Linked DNA regions of Drosophila melanogaster. The protein of the gene in region 3 interacts with the protein of the main gene of each other region in a pairwise test. Each region holds a gene or a part of one and is shown on either strand. Other genes may lie near its edges. The genes, in order: nuf, otp, CG15728 and step.

What was found.
Region 1: the proteins of CG15728 (region 3) and nuf interact in a two-hybrid assay, tested with the Drosophila melanogaster proteins (one large-scale study listed by BioGRID).
Region 2: the proteins of CG15728 (region 3) and otp interact in a two-hybrid assay, tested with the Drosophila melanogaster proteins (one large-scale study listed by BioGRID).
Region 4: the proteins of CG15728 (region 3) and step interact in a two-hybrid assay, tested with the Drosophila melanogaster proteins (one large-scale study listed by BioGRID).

Annotation. Positions count from the first base shown.
Region 1 is NT_037436.4:14,217,883-14,222,752, reverse strand, and holds the start of nuf (nuclear fallout), read right to left. Parts: upstream 3,012-4,870; 5' UTR 2,817-3,011; intron 1,314-2,816; exon of another isoform or gene 1,253-1,313; intron 1-1,252. Other genes in the region: CG7768 (uncharacterized protein), read right to left, coding at 3,876-4,370.
Region 2 is NT_033778.4:20,900,412-20,904,988, reverse strand, and holds the start of otp (orthopedia), read left to right. Parts: upstream 1-1,574; 5' UTR 1,575-2,203; intron 2,204-2,695; 5' UTR 2,696-2,930; coding exon 2,931-2,961; intron 2,962-4,577. UniProt on the Drosophila melanogaster protein: May be involved in the development of the central nervous system.
Region 3 is NC_004354.4:12,622,439-12,628,963, reverse strand, and holds CG15728 (uncharacterized protein), read right to left. Parts: upstream 4,673-6,525; 5' UTR 4,533-4,672; intron 1,872-4,532; exon of another isoform or gene 1,820-1,871; intron 1,749-1,819; 5' UTR 1,732-1,748; coding exon 1,600-1,731; intron 1,544-1,599; coding exon 1,352-1,543; intron 1,288-1,351; coding exon 715-1,287; 3' UTR 519-714; downstream 1-518. Other genes in the region: Aven (apoptosis and caspase activation inhibitor), read left to right, coding at 1-409.
Region 4 is NT_033779.5:21,754,439-21,759,396, forward strand, and holds the start of step (steppke), read right to left. Parts: upstream 3,029-4,958; 5' UTR 2,805-3,028; coding exon of another isoform or gene 2,726-2,804; intron 2,190-2,725; coding exon of another isoform or gene 2,116-2,189; intron 1-2,115. Other genes in the region: CG1416 (uncharacterized protein), read left to right, coding at 3,774-3,921, 4,004-4,640, 4,793-4,928.

The DNA.
Region 1 (4,870 bases), on a different chromosome or scaffold from region 3:
TTTTTTTAGAACCAACAGACCGTAAAATTATTTTGTTCAGACTTTGAGCAGAATTCTAGACAATTTTACATATCCTCGTCGTACAGCTATTTTCCAACCTCTCCCTATTTTCATTGTTATTTTGTTCCTCAGGTTTTGAATTCCCGCCTAGTTTCTAATTACCAGAAAATGCAATGGCTGGCTAAGTTTGCTTTTCTTTTACTTGGAATTTGTGGCGTGCTGTTTACTTTTGTAGTCTAGTAAACTGAATCATTCTTAGTCTTATCAAATCGTTCGGCGACGTGTATAGTTAAGGTGCCCTTGTCAAAGCTTCATTTTCACGTTATCACATACAAATTTAAATAAAGGTCAATATGAGGGCCAATTAAAAGCAGGGCATGACTGATAAAGATTTTACTTTTTAAAGAACTTTATTTGCTTTGAATGATTCCAAGTTGATTTACGAAATAAGCATTCAAATAAATAAAATACAACTTTATTACAAATGATTTGGAAACCCTTATCAAAATACAATCCAATTCCTTCAATACAAGTACAGTAAGTAACCGAATAATCTGATTTCAATTCAACTAAAACTAATTTGCTAATGAAGTAAACTTTCCTTTCTTGTCAGCTGAATATTTTTGGATTATCATATCTCTTCAACCATTTTTTCCTCGCCCATGTCAGGCAATCAAAAACAGCATAATAGAAAATTATCATTAGCTACTCTTCAGCAAAATTGAATTCCACAAAGATTTGCATACAATGGTCGACGAAGGAAGGGGTGAAAATGGGGATGAGTCGAACGAGGGGAGCTCATTAAATGCAAATTTTACTTCGCTGCTGTGCACTTTTCATGCAACAAAGTGAAGTGAACAAGTTACAACAAAAAGGTTGTAAAATATACAATGATTAGCCGAAATTGGATCAGGAATGCTGAGTACCACATAAAATATTCATGATTTCAAACAAATGTATATTTAAAGACTTTGCATCAATTATATGGGAATCATATACATAAGAACTTGAAAAAAAATTGTCATTGATTATTTTTAATGTACTATTATGTATTCTATAACTTTCTTGAAAGCTTTTGCTTAAAAGAACCAAAAACTAATGATGCAATCCTTTAAAATATTTTTAATTTTCCTGCCGATTTTATGATCTTCAATAATCTGTGCCGCGATCTCACAAATATTTTTCAATTTTAAAAGTGAATAGCTAATTTTTTCGATTATTTAAAATGGTGTATTATGTATTTTATTACAACCACAATCGAGGGAGAAAAACAAATTTCGATTAAAGCACGCGAAACGCGAAAAGCAAACTGAATGAACCAGAAATTCAGGGGCAAAATAAACCGAGGCAGTCGCCAGCGATAGAGAGAAAAATGAGAGACTGGGAGAGCGAATTTGGGGAGGCGCAATCTTTATAAATAGGAAAAAATAATAATCAACAAACAAGAGCAATGACAAGGGACCGAAGAAAGAGAGCGATCCGATCCCCCAAAGGAAAAGTTTTTCGCCATATGTCCGAGGGTGATTCTCTCGCCGAATCCGCCCGCCTCCTTTATTTTGAACATATGGTTTTTGAGTCAGGGACAGCGCATAATTATGTGGAATTTATATACGGTCACCCCAAGCCAACCGCTCCCAAAATGCCTCCCATCATATGTTCATATATGCATACATACGTATGTATGTATATGTTTTACTCATTACTAAATAAAAGCGCAAGTGAATAAGCGTGGACACGAACCGAAAAGCAAGAGTAACGGGACGCATGCGGGATTGGATGGTAATCTCCATCCATTTCGTCCCATCTCTTTCGTACACCCCCTTTTTGTTGATGTCATCAGAGGGTCTTTTCCGTTCTTTTGTTATTGCGGCTACCTTAGGCCTTTTACTTATTGGTTTTTAGTGCTAGTTTTCAGTTCCGGTTAGTTGTCTTCTGTGCTGTTAGGGCACTGTGCCGTTAGATTTATATGCCTACTAATTGACGAACCATCGCTAATGAAAGAATATTTTCCTACCAAACTTAACGGTACGGAAAATGCCTAGTAAAAGAAATTAAGAAGTACGAGTTATGTATAATGAATGAACTTGGAACTGCTATGCGTTATTCTCGGTGGAAGCCCTTGATTTATTTAATTCCCTTTGAATGTAGAAACTGCCGAAAGCAATGAAAACAAGACTTGATTTTTAAAGAGGCAATATTATTTTTTTTTTTTCATCTTCCTAAGTTTACTAAACTTTTTAAGAAAATACTTAAACTTGTCTCCATTAATAATAAAAAAAATCAACACAAAAAGCACAATTAATTTACATTGTGCCGGTTTTGCAAATTTGATCACCTTATCTTTCTTCGTTTTACTTCATCAATTACCGTCAGTGTTTTTTCAACTTTTAACGCCCCATAACGAAGAATTGCTTTGAATTGTTTAAAGCTATTTTATTTTTTCTTTCATTTTGTCCCATTTATTGTATCATTTATCAATTTTATGCCACACTTGATTTCCATTTTTTATGTTTCGATAAAACACTTGGCAAACTGATTCAACCGCACTTTTCAATTTAAGATCAATCAACCAATATATTTGCCAGAGGGTATGAAAATTAGAAACATGAGCCGAACAAGGCTACTTTGATTACGGGTTTTCACAACAGACCCTGTCATTAACGAATTTGTTTTGATTTCACATTTTTCCTTAAATAAGCGGTTAATGAGCCAAAGGCACCTGACACAGCTGATAAGCGAATTCGATCGATAATAGGTAACACACAAAAAACACACGAATTGAGGTAACTTTGGGTTAATTTTCTCGAATTTCGAACCTTTTTTAATTTGGCTATTTTGCTTAGGAGAGCAGCAGCAGCAGCTGCATTTTCCTTTTCCTTGGCAATTGCATTGCCCAACAACAAAACACCCGCGCGAGAGAGCGCGAGAGAGTGAGAGACAGGGCGACCGTTCGATGCGCTGCTCCGCTTTTCTAGTGTTGTGAACGCGGCAAGCGTTAAATGCAATCTGAGAGAGGAAAGCGCTGAAAAGCCAGCGCCAAGTCGCGGCCCCTCCTCTGCCGCTGCCTCGGTCGACGTCGGCAGAAGCCGCGACTTGTTTTGGGTGCCCGAAAAAATAACGAAAAGAAATACAAAAAAACAGAGCCCCAAAGCAAAACGAACGCAATAGAAAAATTCCACTAATGTGACTTAGCAGTGTTGGAAATTCGTATTACATGCACTTGAGAAAAGAAAATTTTGTTTGCTGAGTGGCTTATATGCACATACACATATACACATTGTATAACATAGTTAGCCAGGTGTTTTTAGGTTTGAAAAGAAATACTAACTTCCAAATATAATATTTGTTTAAACAAAACTTATATTGCAGAATATATTTAAAAAATAATGGATTCAATTTGAGTTTTTGAATGTATTTAGTAAAGTGCACTTTACCAAACATATACATATGTATTACTGGTGGTTAATTCTTTTTTTTCATCAGTGTATGTGACTTAATAGACATTTGCAAAGTGCATTCGGGTAAAGTGGATAGAATGGCTTGAGGGAAAGGTGATGGGAGACAGAATGAGAATCGAGTGGAAAGAATCAAAAGCGACATATGTGAGCAACTCTTGAACTAAATTGAGTCAATTAAAAGTAATGGAAAGAAAAATCAAAGGAAAATGAGTCAGGGAACTGGGCTGTTCAGGGTGCACCGGATTATTCAACGAATTGGTCTGAAATGCGTAACATATGAGAGCGATGTAAATAGTTGAACCGACAAAATACATTTTTTTGCACCCCCTTTTATTTTGCAAAGTTTTCTTGAAAAGTATAATTTCAGTGTAATAGTGTAAATGTGTGATTGACAGCACTATTATGTATTGACACCCTTCAGAGGGCTCCGCAGTCTTCGATAATTACTTTCTTGCTGGTCTTCCCATCTTGTGAACCGTAAGATTCTACCTTCTGGACGATATCCATTCCCTCAACGACCTTGCCGAACACGACATGCTTATTATCCAGCCATGTGGTTTTCCCGGTGCAAATGAAAAACTGAGATCCATTGGTATTGGCCCCAGCATTGGCCATCGAAAGTACACCAGCTCCGGTATGCTTTAGCTCGAAATTCTCATCGGGAAACTTGTTTCCATAAATGGAGCGTCCTCCAGTTCCGTTTTGATTAGTGAAATCACCGCCCTGACACATGAAATTCGGGATGACGCGGTGGAATGGTGATCCCTTGTAGCCGTACCCCTTCTCTCCGGTGCAGAGGGCCCGGAAATTCTCCGCCGTCTTGGGCACCACATCCGAACGTAGTTCCATCACAATTCTACCTAACTTCTCACCTCCTGCGGCTATATCGAAGTAAACGCGTGGCAACGACATCTTCGCAGATGCCGAAAATTTTCGGAGAAAAGCCAGATCTATTAGGTTTAAAATCGAACGATGCCTTGTTCAAAAACAAGAAATATATTTACCGGATAACTTGGTGGTGTCAGCTTTATGATAAAAAAAAGTAACGACTTTCAAGAGAACCGTACAGTAGAACAGCTGGAACTGAACTGACGAATATTCTGGGCTAGTCAGGGATCTGAAGTAAGGGCTCGTTGAAATTCATTTCACAGCCTTCTTTATAAAATCCAGTAGCAAAAAAAAATGCCTGCTTTGGCTTCCACAATTTTTAATACATTGCAAATGATCGGTATATTTGGATATTTTAAGGTAATATTGTCCTTAAAATACCTTTATCCGTGTCTAATCTTACAGACCTTATTTACTCTTCTAATTTGTTTAACCGCCGCCTTAATCAACGCAAAACTCACAGATACTTTTAAAGCCGGCTATATTTACCTTTCATTTGCAGTTGTGTACAAACTTTATATATC
Region 2 (4,577 bases), on a different chromosome or scaffold from region 3:
GCAACTCAAGGATTTCGCAGCTGTCCTGGTCACAGTCACTATCTGCTGCCCGGATTTGGCCAAAGTGATTTACGACATGCTCATGCCAGGCATTCAAAATGCGGTCTAATTGAGACTCCTTAGATGATTAATCCTTGGCTAATATGGCGAAATTCAACAAGTCTACGCCGCACATTTCCCATAAATTTATTTTTCTTTTTGCTGCCGATAACGCCTTTGATTAATTAACACACTCGAAGTTTTTTTATGTACCTCATGTGAGAAAAGGAAAAAAAATGAAAAGTGATGCATATGCTCTAATAAGTGAGCCCAACAACGAATTGAGATGTTATCACGATTTATTCGGCTTGTTTACTTTATAATACACTAACAGAAAAATTTCTGTTCGATGTTTTCGACATTTGTGTGGGATTGTTATAAGTATTTCACACGTTAGTATGCAAGTTTGTGAAATACAAGACTTAATAGGTTGTGTACAATTATCAATCTAAATTTATTACGCCACTTATTAAATTTTTTAAATTATTTTAGAACGTTTGTCACCCCGCACAAGTGTGAACCTTGAATTATGCTCATTGCAAAACAAACTACAACTGCTGCGATTTTTTGCATTCTTCTTGTGGTTTTAATTGCTACCTAGAGTTTTTAATTAACGCCCCCGATTTAGCTGTATGTATTTGTCGGAGGGAGAAGGCCAACATAATTTGCAGACTTTTGAGGGGCGGTGGGAGGACTTTGAACTGGGCGCAGGAAGTGGGGTGGAAATCCTTTGAATTGCGGTTGCCATGACAAACTCTTATTTCGCCCGGCATTCCGTTGTCTGGCTAATTCAACGTTTGTGCAGCATGCAAAATATTATAAAATTCCGCCAAATGTCGGAGGTACTTCCCCTCCAGCAAAAAGACGGGCAAAAAAAAAAAACGGAAACAAAAACTAATAAACGACAACAGGTGAGGCTGAAAGCTGACACGTGGCATCAACAACGCTGAGTAAGAATTCAAGGCGCATTTTTGGGAGGAGTGGACTTTCAGCAATAACTGTGGCCCAAGCGCCGGTTGCCAACGCGACCAGCTGTGGAGTATAGTTGAAGTTTTTCGAGGGGAATCGAGGTCTGTTTCGGCATCGATGATAGCCCGCCTATCGATAGGCGGCAGGACCTGTTATCGCCGAGGGCGCCAAAAAGTGCTATCGTTCGGGGCCACAAGCTCCCGAGTTCCCTCATTCGTTGGTCTGCATTGAGGGCGTGGTCTGGCCTACGCACAGCGAGTATAGCCGACCCGCTCTAGCAACCACTTGGCAGGGCAAGCGCGAACGAGTCAGCATGCTTGGCTCGACGGCAAGATGGCTGTGGGCTCAGCTAGCTGTCTCCTTTCCTCGCCCGCCCGGGGCACTGGCACGGTGTGTGCTCTTTGCGATTTTTGCAAATCAATGCGAGAGATAAGCCCGCTGGCAGAGATAACGCTTGACTTAACCGTCAATTGTGCGAGGGGGTGGCGATTGAATGCGGCGCCAGTGCGCAGTCGTTGTTGTCGAAGTTATCAGGTTTCGTAGTCAATTCGCTTTGATTTTTTCGCACTGCCCTCAAATGCAAGCGAGCAGCGCTACGTATACGGCGTACAGCTCCCATACGATACAATAGTGCGATCCGAAACAATTCGATCCGTTTCCGTTTGCTAGTGCCTAGAAAGCCGTCGCACTGGCAGAGACCATTAACCGAATTGATCTAACTGGGAAGTGCCAAGGAATAACTAAGTGAAAATGTGCCCGAAGTGTAAAAATGCTATCAATTAAACAGTAGAAAACAAGGACGAGTGACCACACCCGAAGGTGGAAGCAAGCCGTGTCCTCCGCCGGACAGTGTCCGGCTGTCAGTTGGTCAAACAGTTCATCAATAAACGATTCGACTTCCGTTTCATTGCGTGTCCCTAAGCTGTGCATGTCTGCGTGTCTGTGAGTGCGATTGTGTGTGTGTGCCAGCTGTGCGCGTGTGTGTGTGTGTGTGTGGGAGCTAAGGAAACTTTTCAACTTCCGGCCAAGTGACTTGGATTTAATTTCTTTGGCTTTTTTATGGTCAAGGCATTTAATTAATTTTACTATGGCAATTTGATCGTCTGCTGGCCTGAACTCTGACCCCAGCCCATAACCCTGTGGCATACACAAAAAGCAAGGAGGCGGAAAAAGGACGAGCGATAGGAGGAGCCAGGTGAGTCCTTGGCCAAATGAGCAATAAAACTCAATGCAAATGCCCACACAATCGAACTTCGGCAGAAGTTTCTGCGGTTAAGGAAAGTGAAACGGATTTAGTTTTCTGGTTAGTCGCACAATAGTTAAATTACCCAAATAGCTGGACATTTGACAGGGGTCAAAGTTCAAGAGAGGGCTGGGCCAAATATTCACAACACACGAGCAATTAGTATACTTAAATGTTTTGCCAAGACAAAAATCAAACATTCATTTATGATTCCAGAAATCTTGATACATTGTAAGCAGTTTTATTGCATATGATTGTATACTATAAACATAAACAAAAACTTTGCTAAACAAGTTAATGACCATTTTCTCTTGTCAATTTAAAAACTTTTAGTATTGAAAATTAACAAGTACTTCCAAAAAAGCACAAAGTCACCTATGTATGTTTATATTTGCGTTGAGCAGAAGCCACCCATCCAAAAATAACAAATCTGTTTACTTGCAGCCACACCCATTTCCACCGAACAATTGAGATGTAATTTGCACCGCAGGTGAACTTCAACTCCAACGTTCTGTGATAGACGAGTATACGAGCAGGAACTCCCATTGGGATTCCGCCACCACCAGTCGATATCGATTCCCGATTCAATCAAATTGGATCCCGAATCCTAACTTTCGGAGCAGCAATCAGAAACAGCGACAAACTGTCGACTCTGTCGATCCGCAATTTCTCGGCAAACATGCTGAACAATCTTGGGGCCAATGTGCTGGGTAAGTTACGCCCCCAATCCTCGATAGCGTTTTAAGTGCGGGCTGCGGGCGGGAGCTGCGTATAATGTTGCAATTAAGATCGCCAAGTGAATTGCGCTAATGTATAATAATGTGTGTATTAATCCATGGCATACGATCCGCCTGGCCATAATTAAACTAATTTCTTGAGCACACCCACAAAAGATCGGAGGGGTAGTTAGTCGTACTTCCGATCTGGCGATTGCCATCGCATCTCCCATGTCTGCTAAATGGCCTATAATTGAGACGTCTAACCAGATGGCGCCAGGTGTCGCGTGCATTTAGCAATAATTAAGTTGTGTATTTAACTAACTCGGCAAACCTTCTCCGATTCCCATTCCCATATGCCTATGCCCATTCCGAATCGAGTGTGGGTGGGTGTGTTTGTGTTAATTGATATAATTGCTCTTTTAAATATGCCGCAAATTGTGAATTACATTCACACATTCACCCGGCGCACGCACATAATTATCAAACTGTACTTGTGTCCTCATATTAATATATTAATAATTCCGAATACACATATGTACATATGTATGTGCGTGTGTGCAGGTGAATAAATTATTTTTACCACACTGTTGATCAACGATTCAAGCACTTTCAATTTTGGCAATCAATTTGTTGTTAGCCGTCCAACACTACCAGAAAATACAGTTTGCAAGTGCATTTGCAACTGCAACTGCAGCAGCCATGGATGAGTTATGGCTCGCGTTTATATTCAATTTTTATTGCCAGCATCCTTGCGTCCTTCGAAGCGTTGCCATTAATTACTTTTATTAATTTATTGCCATTTTTCACGCGCCAATTGTCGCCGCTCGGTGCACGCGGCGTATGCGTAATGTCCATAGTTGCCATTGAAGATGGGTGTTTAATTAAGGGCTAGCAAGCGAAACTGATCTGACGGTTTGCTATCTGCCATGGATTGCGACTGCCAAAGTTGGCTTTTAAAGTTTTCGCCGGCTTCAACTTTAGCCAGCTCCATTTGCCCACGAAGAACTATAAATTTCAATGAATCGCAGTGCGGAATCCTTTGGACAAATCCTGCCCGCAGTGCTGGAGTCTGCCATAATAAATTTCGTGAGCCTTTTTCCGAGTTTCGCACAACAGAGAGGCCAAAAAACATTTGCATACTGGGTGCGTGGCCGAGAGGGGCAAAAGTGGATGCCCCCCTAACCACCCCTTTACAATTAAGAGCAATTTGCATGCAAAAGAAATGGCAGAACTTTCCCCGGATTCGTATTGTCTCTCCCCTACTAATGCTTAATTTGCATGCAGCGAAAGGAGCTCGAATGGCGTTTCGTTTGGGCGCTTTTTTCGTGAGCCTCGCATTAATTAAATTAATTTCATGATTGCATTTGTAATTTGCACAGACCCCCTTCAGGTTTACCCCCACCCGTCCGTTGCATCCACGAAATATCTGCGCGTGCTTCGCTTTGTGCGTTCGGCATTTTTGCGGTGGCCTAGGCTAGTGAAATATGTGTGCTTAACCCCGCTGAACACCGCTTAACCCCCCACTGCCATATCCGCTTTGCATTGAAATGTTTTGCGGTTGCTGCGGATTCTGTTCCCAGTTGCGGTTAGTTGTTGGAGCAGCCCAG
Region 3 (6,525 bases):
CACCCGCCTAAATGTGGGTCTGCAAACGATTCCGTTATACAAGCGTATGGATTATCCGGCGTCTTTGTTCACCCGCGCTCAGATTGCCGCCCAAGAGAAGGCCGCCGAACGGGCTGAGGCAGTTTACCAGCAGTGCATTCTGAAGGACGCCAATGGGGGCGCCAAGTCGCGAGCTCCCTCTGCTAAGTCCAATAAGGACGTTGCCCCTGCAGCGGCGGAAAAACCAATTGCTGCCTCAGCAGCTGAACCTGATGAACTTGACGAGCTATTGGCCATGACCGATACGCAACTGGATATAGGCTCTGGAACCATTACGATGCCAATGCCTATGGTGCAGCCGGCCACACCCTCATCGGCAGCAAGCAAAAACGGTGTGGAGGAATGGCTGGATTCCGTTTTGGATGAATAGTTACATAGTTCAGGAGGACTATTACCAGAGCTTTTTACGCTTACACGAAATATTCAAATCACTAAGTGCTTGCATTTTTAGAAGTAGCATCATTAAAATTGCAAAATCTAGAGTTTTCCTCGTAACTTTATAGTTAAAGCTAGAGCCTTTTTATTGTGTATAATAAAATCGTTGATTGCATATATATACGATGCGATTGTTTCTTGAAATAAGTTTCAAAGGTTAGGTTAAGTTATTGAAGATTTCAATTCTCTTCTCATCAAAGTATCTGAATTTATAACAGATTTCTTTGTTTCCGTTCGCTATTACTTACATTGTGGTCCACTTTTGCCTTGGTAACACTTAACCAAATGGCCATGCAAGAGCTGCATAAGCTCACATATGGACTCCAAAAGCACCAGGCGCTCATGCAGATGCCCCAAATCGTTGTTCTCCACCATCAGCGGACGCAGCTCATCAACGATCGCGATTAGCCAGCGAACTAATATCGAACAATCGTCCCTGGCCAGTTTCATATAATCCTCCGGCACATCGGTCTCCTGGCACAGTTGCTGGCCCTGGGCATTGAATGGTCCGATCAGCAGGATGCTGGATATCAAACGGACCACCAGGTGCAGGGAATGCAAATAGGATATTACATAAATATGCGGCTTCACCACGGCAACGACGAGCAGCAGTGTGTTAGCCGGACGCAATCGGTGCAAGTCCAGGCCCAAGTCCGACATATGATCCAACATGGCCCAGAGCAGACAGTTAGCCACAACGCTGGCCATTGTGCACAGCGGACTGGCCACGCGGCAGCCGAGGATCAGGTTGAGCATTGTGCTCGAACTCTGGATATCCAAGAGACCCAGGACATGGACGCATACCTGGTGGATCTGTTGGGCAAAGAAAGGGAAGGATCAAAAAATATATATTTCAAACATATATATGCTTACTCACATGGCTTTCCTCGGAGCATGCCATATAATTGAAGCACTTTTGCAGGAAAAGAGTTCTTTTCACCTGGGTGGCCGACGTGTCCTCATGATGGAGTAGATAAACCATCAAACCGCATACATACACCGCAGCCAGTTTATCTGCTCCGAATTGGATCCCCTCCTGGTTGAGCAGTTCATCAAAACCAGATATAATCTAACGGAACATGTGAATAAATTAGATAATGTGATTATGATATGAATATGGATCACCTCCAGAATATTGCCGGTGGCATAAATAAAGTAGCATTGTTCCCGAATCGCCGATCGACTCATAGTCTGACGCAGCTCTTCCAAACTGAATCCCTGGGGTCGCACCATGTGGCTCATGTTGTATTCTGCCATTTTATCTGAGGAAAAAGCTGGAAAAAGGGAGTTATGCATTACTTTTGAACAGGGAAAAGGCGCCTTCAAGGATTTGCTGCTGCTTCACCTTCTCCTCCTCCTTCTACAAATTAGTGACTGAAAGATATGATGTGTGCAAATAGCCAACGCTATTTTAATGAGCTCCACAACATTTTGACATGTTTTTCAAACACACTTGGCTGCCATCTTGGCCAAGCCGAGTACAGTGAAATCAGCAAGTGGGTACTTTTAATTGAAAAGTCTAGGAATTAACTATGAAGCTTTTGATTTGAATTCATGAACCTTGAACCTATGTACATCTTCCATGATTTAAAATTAATTTTTTGTAATAATATATTAAAATATTATAATTATATAGTTATGTTCATTTTTAGACAAAATACACTTTTGTGTTGAACTTCTAGTTGAATCGCATAAAATTGAAGGACTTAGAGGAGTCGCTGCTATCGGACGCTTACTGTAGTTATGATTTTTCCTGCCTGTGTGTGTGCCCGCCTTTGTTTGTGTGTATTTGTGCTTGTCCTTGCACTGCTTTCGAAAAGGCTGGCAAAATGCAAATGCACGCGCGATGTGCGCATTTTAGCATAAAAGTCACCTGGCCTCCGTTTCCGACTCCCACTTTTCCACCTGCCACGCCCATCGCCGCTTCAAGTTTCTTGCACACTTGGCGAATATCTGCTCATTATGCATTCATATTTCATATTTCGCAATTACTTGCTTTCACACACACACACACGCACGCAAACGAACTGGCGGTAAAAAGCGCAAGAGGTGCAAGCAAGATGGCCATAACAGCAGGAAACCGTTAAGTTTCTGTGTGTGTGTGTGTGTTTGTGCGTCCTTTGCTTGGTCTTTTCTTTCTGCTCTTCTGCTTTTTTATCGCCCCCTTTATTTTTTTGGGGCATTTTTTGCACAGATTCCTATTGAAATTTCCATATTCACATTTTAATTATGCGTCGGCATGAAAAGATTAACAACTTTTTTGCAATCTCTCTGTGTGTGTGTGTGTGTGTGTTATGCTCTCCTTTTTGTTTTTAATTATGCACATGTATTTGTTGATCAAATTTAAATGGCAAAGGGGTAGGCAACATATAACCCTCTCTTTCTGAACTGCTTGCAAACATAACCTCAATTTAGCTGCCACTGCTTGCGAAGCGATTGTATGCTAATCAACTGGGAACATCTATAGCATAATATGATCTATTATATCAGCGTCCAGCTAAAAATCTACGTCAAGTGTAAAAACCCAAGAATCCCCCTCTATTAAACGCAACAAAAGTGCTCAATTAGCGAGGGTTGTTCAGCAAGTTGAACGGGAAACGCAGACCAGGCCAATTACAGTCAAACATCCGTAAGTGGAAAAGATGCTTACATTTTTATTTTACTACAAGATTGAAAAGATGTTTACATTTTCCATTTGAGTATTTTTGCTCATCATAAGAAAAATTTTACTGTAGTTATTTATCTTACTTAAAAAAAAAAATGACAAGACTGGTATTATTATTTATGGAACCATCATTTGGAGGTTCAACTGTGCTAATAGATACTAACAATCATATCCGGTTCCCGTCGGATGGCGATGATAATAATAATCAAGATGGTGATGACAAGTGGCAAGTAGCTACCCTTTAATTTTTGAGGGTGGACCGAACTGATGAGCCGCTTGTGTGCGCTGTTTGTTGTAACCAATCTGTGCATTTTACGCCTAATTTAAGGCAAATTGTCCACCCCACTTGTCTCAACACTTTTGCAACCGAAAACCCTCCCCCATCCAACTAACTTTTTCATTTTTCGGTCTTCGAGGCCGCGGGGCCTGACAAAAGCCAACAGATTTTCATGTCATTATTTACTGATTTGTGGCATTTGAAAGGGAATCGGTTTTCGGGCTTAGGATTTGCGTTCTGTAACCACCCAGCGAACTTTTTGTTTACTAATGAAGTTGTTGTTTACACAATTGGAAAGTATGATGTATGTATACAAATGATAGCCACAGTGCAAGTGGAATCCAAACCGTTCCACCCACCAATTATCACGAAATGTCATCTGAGAATTAGCCACTTTTGCAAGACGCGACATAAGAAATCGAATAGACCCTTGCAAAGAAAATAAGTCTAATATTTCTGTCGGCCCTGATGATACTAAGCGAATTTCTTTCGGTAAGGTAAACATATTGATTTTCTATTAATTATATGCGTTGTGTAACTAGAAACAGTTTTAAAGAATTTGCAAGATGGGGGTAATGAAGAAAAAGTGCCCAAGTAATAAAGAATTTCATGTTTTACAGAGTTTCCTGTATGTATGTATATGTAAGTGCTGTGGCCAACTTTAACCTTTATTTAAACAGCTTAGGACTATTTTTGACCTTAAGATCAATATGCTCTAATAACTATATCATTAGCAATAAAAAAAAGATATACATAAATTTCCAAATATATAGATATAGATAGTTCTAGGAGCTTAGGAGCGTGAAAGAGAGTGATGACCTGGAAATTGCACCAAAGAAAAACTCAAAAAAGAAAGCTTTGGGATCTTTTTGATCAGTGCCAGAAGTTCAAGCGAATCCTTGAGATCAATATGCTCCTGGTGGGCACAAGCGAGAATGCTTTGAGATTCACTATATCATTAGCAATCAAACGAAAAGATACAAAAATTCTAAAATATCTAGATGCAGTTCGAGGAGCTCAGGAGTCTCATAAAGTTCATCCCCATGGATGGGGATCTCAAAGTTTATATACAAAAGGGGCAGGAATCGTAATGAATGTAATTAAAACTGGACATACCTGTACGTTTTGTATGAAATGTTTAGCTTGGCGGAAGAATACTTCACTTGTACAATGAAATTACTTCTCACTTCCTCGTCAATTATTAGCAAATTATCAAGGAGCTCACTAATATTTCAATGGGTATCTTTTTTATTCCGCTGACCACTATTCGCTTTTGCAACAAATTGCAACTGATCGATGGAAAGCCATAGTCAGTGGCTTTCCCTTAGCCATGGACTCTTAGCCAGAGGCAACCTGTATGGCTCAGTCGGGGTTCGAGGCTGAGACTGTGAGACGATTCGATTCGATTCGATCCGATTCGATTCAATCCACAGGTTCGATGGCCGCACAATGGGACACAATGCGGCAATTAGGCATAAAGATGCCAGATTTGAAATAAGCAAGTGTGGCACGGCCCGCGGCACAAACACAATTTCGGACGATTTTCCAAGCGGATAATGACAAACATTTTTAATCACAAAAACGAGACGAGAAACCACCACCGCCAATTGCAGTGGACGGGGGAAAACACAAATTTTCACACAATATGGCAAACATCTCGCAGCCATCCTCCAACCGGAAGTCAAGTGTGTCGAGTCCTTTTGCCCTGCCCATCCATGATGACATAATCGCCCCTCAACACAATCATTATGTCGAGAATTGCTGTTGCGGTTTCTCCGAACTTCACTTCTATTTTTTTTCCTTTATTTTTATATACATGCATATATATATATTTTTGTTTCTGCCCCGCGGATGGGCCACAGCAGGCTGGAATTTAAATTGAAATTGGTATATAATGGCAGGGAGTAACTGACAGTTCCTCCCCTGTGAGTAAAGTGAGTACATTCATGGCCAAAGTCAAGTGCCTTCTGTGGTAACTTTATTATTTTACAATACTTATGCGGCCCAAAACAATCATTACTTTAACAAGTCCAATTTGTTTAGATCTCAAGAATATTTATGTTGTATTTCTGACACCTTGCTATTTATTTACTTATTTATATATATATATATAATATAATTTTATGTTACGTGGGCTGCTTACCATTTTAAATGTATGAAGTAACAGAGGCAACAAATGTAAGATGGAAAGATGGAATTTGGAATTTGGAAATATAATTTAGATTTAGATTTGCTAATAGTTTTGGCTAGTCTTGAAGTTCTCGCGCCTCTTTAGTCGGCCAAACCCAAATTCATAATCACAGGCAAAAGTGCGCAGAAAAGTATGCTACACTTTTGGCACTAGCATTTTCTGTTGTTTTTTTTTCAAAGCTGCAAATTGTACGAACTCTTTAGTTTCGTAGTTTTCAGCCTGAATGCGAGCAAAAGCCGAAAAACTTTTCCCCACTCTCCCGGCTTTATTCCTTTTTTTTTTTAGTTGCAAAGTTCTCCAACGCCGAGAGCTTAATGCAATTAATAACTCATTAAATAAATACAAATCAAATTGAATGATGGCCAGCTCAAAGGAGAAGGGCTGGTGGAGCAGGAGGTGCCTTTGTGCTCAAAGGATGGCTGCGTAAAATGTACCAATTAAAAATGCCATTCAAATCTCAATGGCTGCGCAAATGAACCGCATGAATGTGAGAATTTGCGGTATCAAAAAAAAAAAAAAAAAACGCGAAGGAAACCGGTGAAAGAATCATCCATCATCTATCTGTATCTGCAAGTGGCTGGCATGATGGGGGTTAGCAGATGCATTTTATTCATTAGATTACATTCACATTTCATAGACGATTTCATGGCAACGTTAACTTGCTTGCCATCCCATTCGCCTTTGCCTTTCATTCGCATTTCAGCCATTTTTCCCGCATTTTTTCGCATTGCCCGCCTCGCTTCTTTGGCTTTTCCGTTTTGTTTCCGGTGGCTCCCATCAAGTATCTTTTTAATTAGCGTTCTGTGCCGCTCTGCACCACTTGAAAACTACTACCCGTTCCACGTCGTCTGCCCCTATATCATCATGCCATATCCTCGTTGGGTTGGCTTGGGTTGGGTTGGCGTTAGCTGGTGTCCT
Region 4 (4,958 bases), on a different chromosome or scaffold from region 3:
CCATGGTATACAAAAATAATAGTAAATACAATAATAAACATAAAAAAAATATACAGAATTGTGATTTTTGTTGATTTCAGTCAGAAGACCGCAACGCAGTGAAGAAGACATTTGCGTATTTTTCTTTCGAAATTTCTGTGCACACAAACGACGCATTCAAAGTGTAAACACCAAACATATCATTGCAATCCATTAGTTTAAAGCCTTTGATTACAAATATACCAATTATTTTAAATGGGATAAAACCAGTTTTAATGGCATAAATTCTTTAAAATATATGTCTATATACATATCATTGAAACATGCACAGTTGTATATACTTTACATATATGTAGTACAATATACTTGCTTTAGTATGTCCTTTTACTCTACGATTAAGGGGTTTAAATACTTTTATTATTCTTCTGTCTGGTTTTAAATATCCATTCTATAAATTCTATAAAAAAATAGGTAATTTTGCGCTGAGCTAAAAATTATAACTCCAGGTAGTCGGGGAACAGAAGAGTGAAAGGTAGGGGACGATGTGTCAATTGCATATCCAGGTAGACATAATAAAGCCCGATAGTTAGGAAAAAAAAGCAACGGAAATTCGGGGGAATCAGAAAAAATATGAGATTTCCATTTCGGTGCAGATGTGCATACGAAAATTTTGACCGATAACAACACATGATCCTTACACTAAAAGTAGTTCAACATTATTAAGGTAGATACATTTTTTAAATTAAAGTTATCAATAAATAAAAGCCCTTTAACTAGGACTTGTACTAGCAAAATATTAATATTTTTATTAATTTCAGCAAACGTTTATTTTAACAATTGATAATTAAATTGGTAGTATCGTACCACACACAAATTTATAATTGACTTTTTAGCACACTCACCTTTGCGTTTTCTCACAATCTAACGATACAAGCATTTGCACATATCAGCACAATGACAAAACGGCAATTGTTAAAAATCCAATAAATAAAAATTCGTTCACTTTAGATCACGACTCGAAGAACCACAATTACAGCACGCGAAAAAATCTCCAGTTCGCTGTTGGAAGACAGCAGTTTTACTATTCTGGTGAACCGATCGTCACAGGAGCGATGACTTGAATATTCTGAGGGAATTCCGGAGGGACAGTTTGTTTCGACTGAACAAACATTTTCTTTTTATTTTATTTGTATATTCGGAATTCGAGTGAATAATTCAGTTCAAATTCAGATTTGGTAATTGAAACATTATGTCTTGACAAGACTTTAAATACACTACCAAAATTATCACTTGTAATGGGGCTGGTGAGTGGTAATTTTAACCACAAAAAATATTAAAATCCTAGCAAGTATTTTTGGATTTTTTTTATAGAAAGACACCAGAGAAAGCCTATATGGCGTTTAACAACTCATTTTCAAATGCTTTATTTCAATCGTAGATCGTGCGGGTTAAAACCATGGTCATTGTATTCAGGTATGATATGATATGAGCACTAAAATATATATTTCTTTTAAAAAAGTTGTTGAACATAAAGAAGTCTTAACAAAGTGAAAACTAGTCACGATCGCAACACGAACATAAATAGCTAAACTTGCCACTAGCCGCCAGATCACAAATCTTCCCGCATTAAGGAGTTAAAAAACAACCTAAGTAGAAAAAAAAACCAAATTGGTCTGGCTTATAGGTATTCATAAAATTTTATAAATACATATAAATGCACATATGCTACTCAACAACATAAAAATCGACTCTCTTGCCCACTATCTCTCTTCTTAATGTTTTTATTGTATTTTTTTTTGGGATATTTACTTTCGATTATTTGCTAAATTAATTCTTAGCACCAACAATAATTTTACCATCATTTTTATTATCGGTTTATTAAAATTTATATATTTTAAGATTAATCGTTCATATAAAAAAATTCAGAGCCCGTCAAGCCCTCCCTACAAAGGCTCTGGAATAAGTCTAGTGTCTTTGCTCCCTCTCTGTCAAATCACCTAAAAAGAAGCTGGCAAAAACTCCAGACAAAAAGACATCACGAAATTGTTTTTCTGTATACTACAAGTGTATACGAATATGTTCTTAAATCGTTGTTTCCAAAATTAAAAATGTATGTATATATTGATGGTCAATTACCTGTATTTCGAGTAAAAGTTCCTGCTTCTTGCGTCGCAGCTCAATCAGCAGTTTTTGCTGCTCCGGTGTAAGTTCTGCAAGAACGAGATGCGAATCAATAATAAATTCATATACTTGTTTCTGGGCATTTTGTAAATTGTATCGCAACACCAACAGTAAAAATAAAAAACACCAGAGCAGCATTCCAGGCACACGCGCCCAACACACATACACACGTGCATACACGAGCTGTTTGCGATGCGATGAAAGCATCTTGTAGGCTACGTCACTAGCTTAGGCCGATAAACAATTTTCACTTGTCGAAACCACAATGGATTGCTAATTGTGCAAATTGGCTTATTAGCGTTACCAAAGCTCTTCGGACTTAATTCTGACGAAGGCCAAAAACGAGAACGCAATGTACATATGTACATAATATACATACATATGTGCACTAACATTTCACCTAGCACACAAGTCTATACATACAAATGTTGCTTGTTGCTTCTCTTATTTTGTAGTTGTGGGTATCCCAATTTGTGATCTTAATAAAATTTTATCAATACAAAGATTCGTATTCTGTTCATGCTAGGCTATATCCTTCGGGCCAGCAAAAGTATCTGCTGTTTACCTGGCATTGAGAATTCACTGCGCCCCTTTGATATGGCACCGTACGATCTGTTGTCGAAATTGTCCATTGCGCTAATCATCGCGGAGCTACTGAGCTACTACACACACTCTCGCGCACACGACACACACTCTAGTTGTACATTTTTCACCAGCAGTTGGCTAATTTTTAAGGCTTTTCATTGAACAATCAAAGACGAACGGATAATAAACAAATCAACACCAAAAAAATTCTATCGCCATTTTCTTTCAGCTCTCCACTAGGGATGTGCTGAATTCAGCTATCGGTTGAGTAAACAACTGAAAAATAACAAGTGCATGCTGACTTAAGCTGGGTGTTACGCGAGCTCTGTGTGGCCACTTTTAAAATATCCTGATGCCACTGCATCTTGTAACCAAACGTAAGAACTTTTTAATCAGTAGAACTAAAAAAATTAGGGCTAATTATTTACTTGCAACAATACATTAAATATTTTTAGGGGTACACTTTTTCAGAGATTAGAGCAGACCTTATCTATTTCAAGACAAATAGCTTGAAAAGCTGTAAAACAACTTTGTTACATCCATTATGGTGTGATTTGCGGGAATCGGCTATTACCATTTCGAAAATTGTTTGTTACAAGTTAAAAACATAAACTTAAAGTTTTGGACGTACATAAAAATATAACATTAAAACAACCTTGTTATAAAAAAATACAATACCACCAATACTTACTGTCCATTTTAAATCTGTTAAAAAATTCACTGAACGAATACGTCTTTCGTCATAACTCCATTTAAAATATCGTCAGGAAATTTACACATCATTTCGTTTTTTTAACGGCACAAACACCTCGGACTTGGTGGCAACGCTGCCAACATATGTGTGCACTGGCATCGATAATTTTTACATCCCTATTTTGAACCGCAGAATTCTAGAAAATTCCACTCGCTGGCCATAGTAATTGTCCGAATTAGTTTAAGCTAAGACTGCCGGATCAAAAGTAAACCAACATCTTCCATCTTTTCATAAAATTGAAGACAGTTTCATACAATTCTACAGTAAGAAAGCGATGGCCAAGTGGGGAGAAGGAGATCCGCGCTGGATTGTGGAGGAGCGGCCCGACGCCACCAACGTGAACAACTGGCACTGGACGGAAAAGAACGCCACGCCATGGTCCAAGGACCGCCTGCATCAGCTTTTTCAGGATTTCAAAATAGGCGAGTATATAAGAATTTGTAGTAGTGTAGAACATACATTTTAGGTATATCCTAACCTAAAAGTAAACTTCTCAAAACGCAGGGCAAAGCGACATTGAGTGTGCCGTGGACTCCGTGGACAAATGCTCCGGGGAGGCCACCGTGAACAATCGCAAGGGCAAGCTCATATTTTTCTACGAGTGGGAGCTGGTGCTCAAGTGGTCTGGAAAGCTCCTAAAGAACAGCAAGCTGATCCACAAGGGCAAGTTAACCATTCCCAATCTCTCCGAGGAGAACGAACTAGCCGACGTAGAGATCACGGTGACAATCGACGAGTCCAACGACGAGTCGGAGACCCTGAAACAGTTCATGTACAACGTGGGACGAGACCGCGTGCGGCAGCAACTGGCTTCCTACATCCGAGAGTTGAAGGAGGAGTACTCCAAGAACCTTATCCTACCAAAGAAGGGCGACGAGGCCGGAGCGGGAAATACTGTGGCGAATTTTAAGGATGCCAACAATACCCGTAATGCAGCCCAAAATATCGCTTTAAACTCCTCGGTGGCGGCTCCTAGGCTGAAGAACTCTGGCATCGGCTGTAAACTGGACGTTCGCACTCTCTCGATGACCGAAGAATTTCACTGCAGCGCCAATGACCTTTACAACGCTCTCACAAAGCCAGAAATGGTCACTGCCTTTACGAGGGCACCTGCCAAAGTAGATGCCGTGCGCGGTGGAGAGTAAGTTTTTGTCCCTGGTCGTTTTATTTTACCATCACATCAGGACCGTTTGTGTCGTCATTTAGTAATCTTGTTATGAATAACCATAAATTTCGCCCCTCGCCCTTGTCTTCACTTCTTTATGGTAAGTAATCTTTTGTCTTTTATTGTAGATTTATTCTTTACGGAGGCAATGTGCTCGGAAAATTCGAAGAGCTCGTCCCTGAAAAAAAAATACAGCAGAGCTGGCGTCTGAAAAACTGGACATCTGGTCACTACTCAAACGTTGTCATAGAGCTGGAAGAAACTGTAAGTTACTAGGACAACGAAAACTAGATA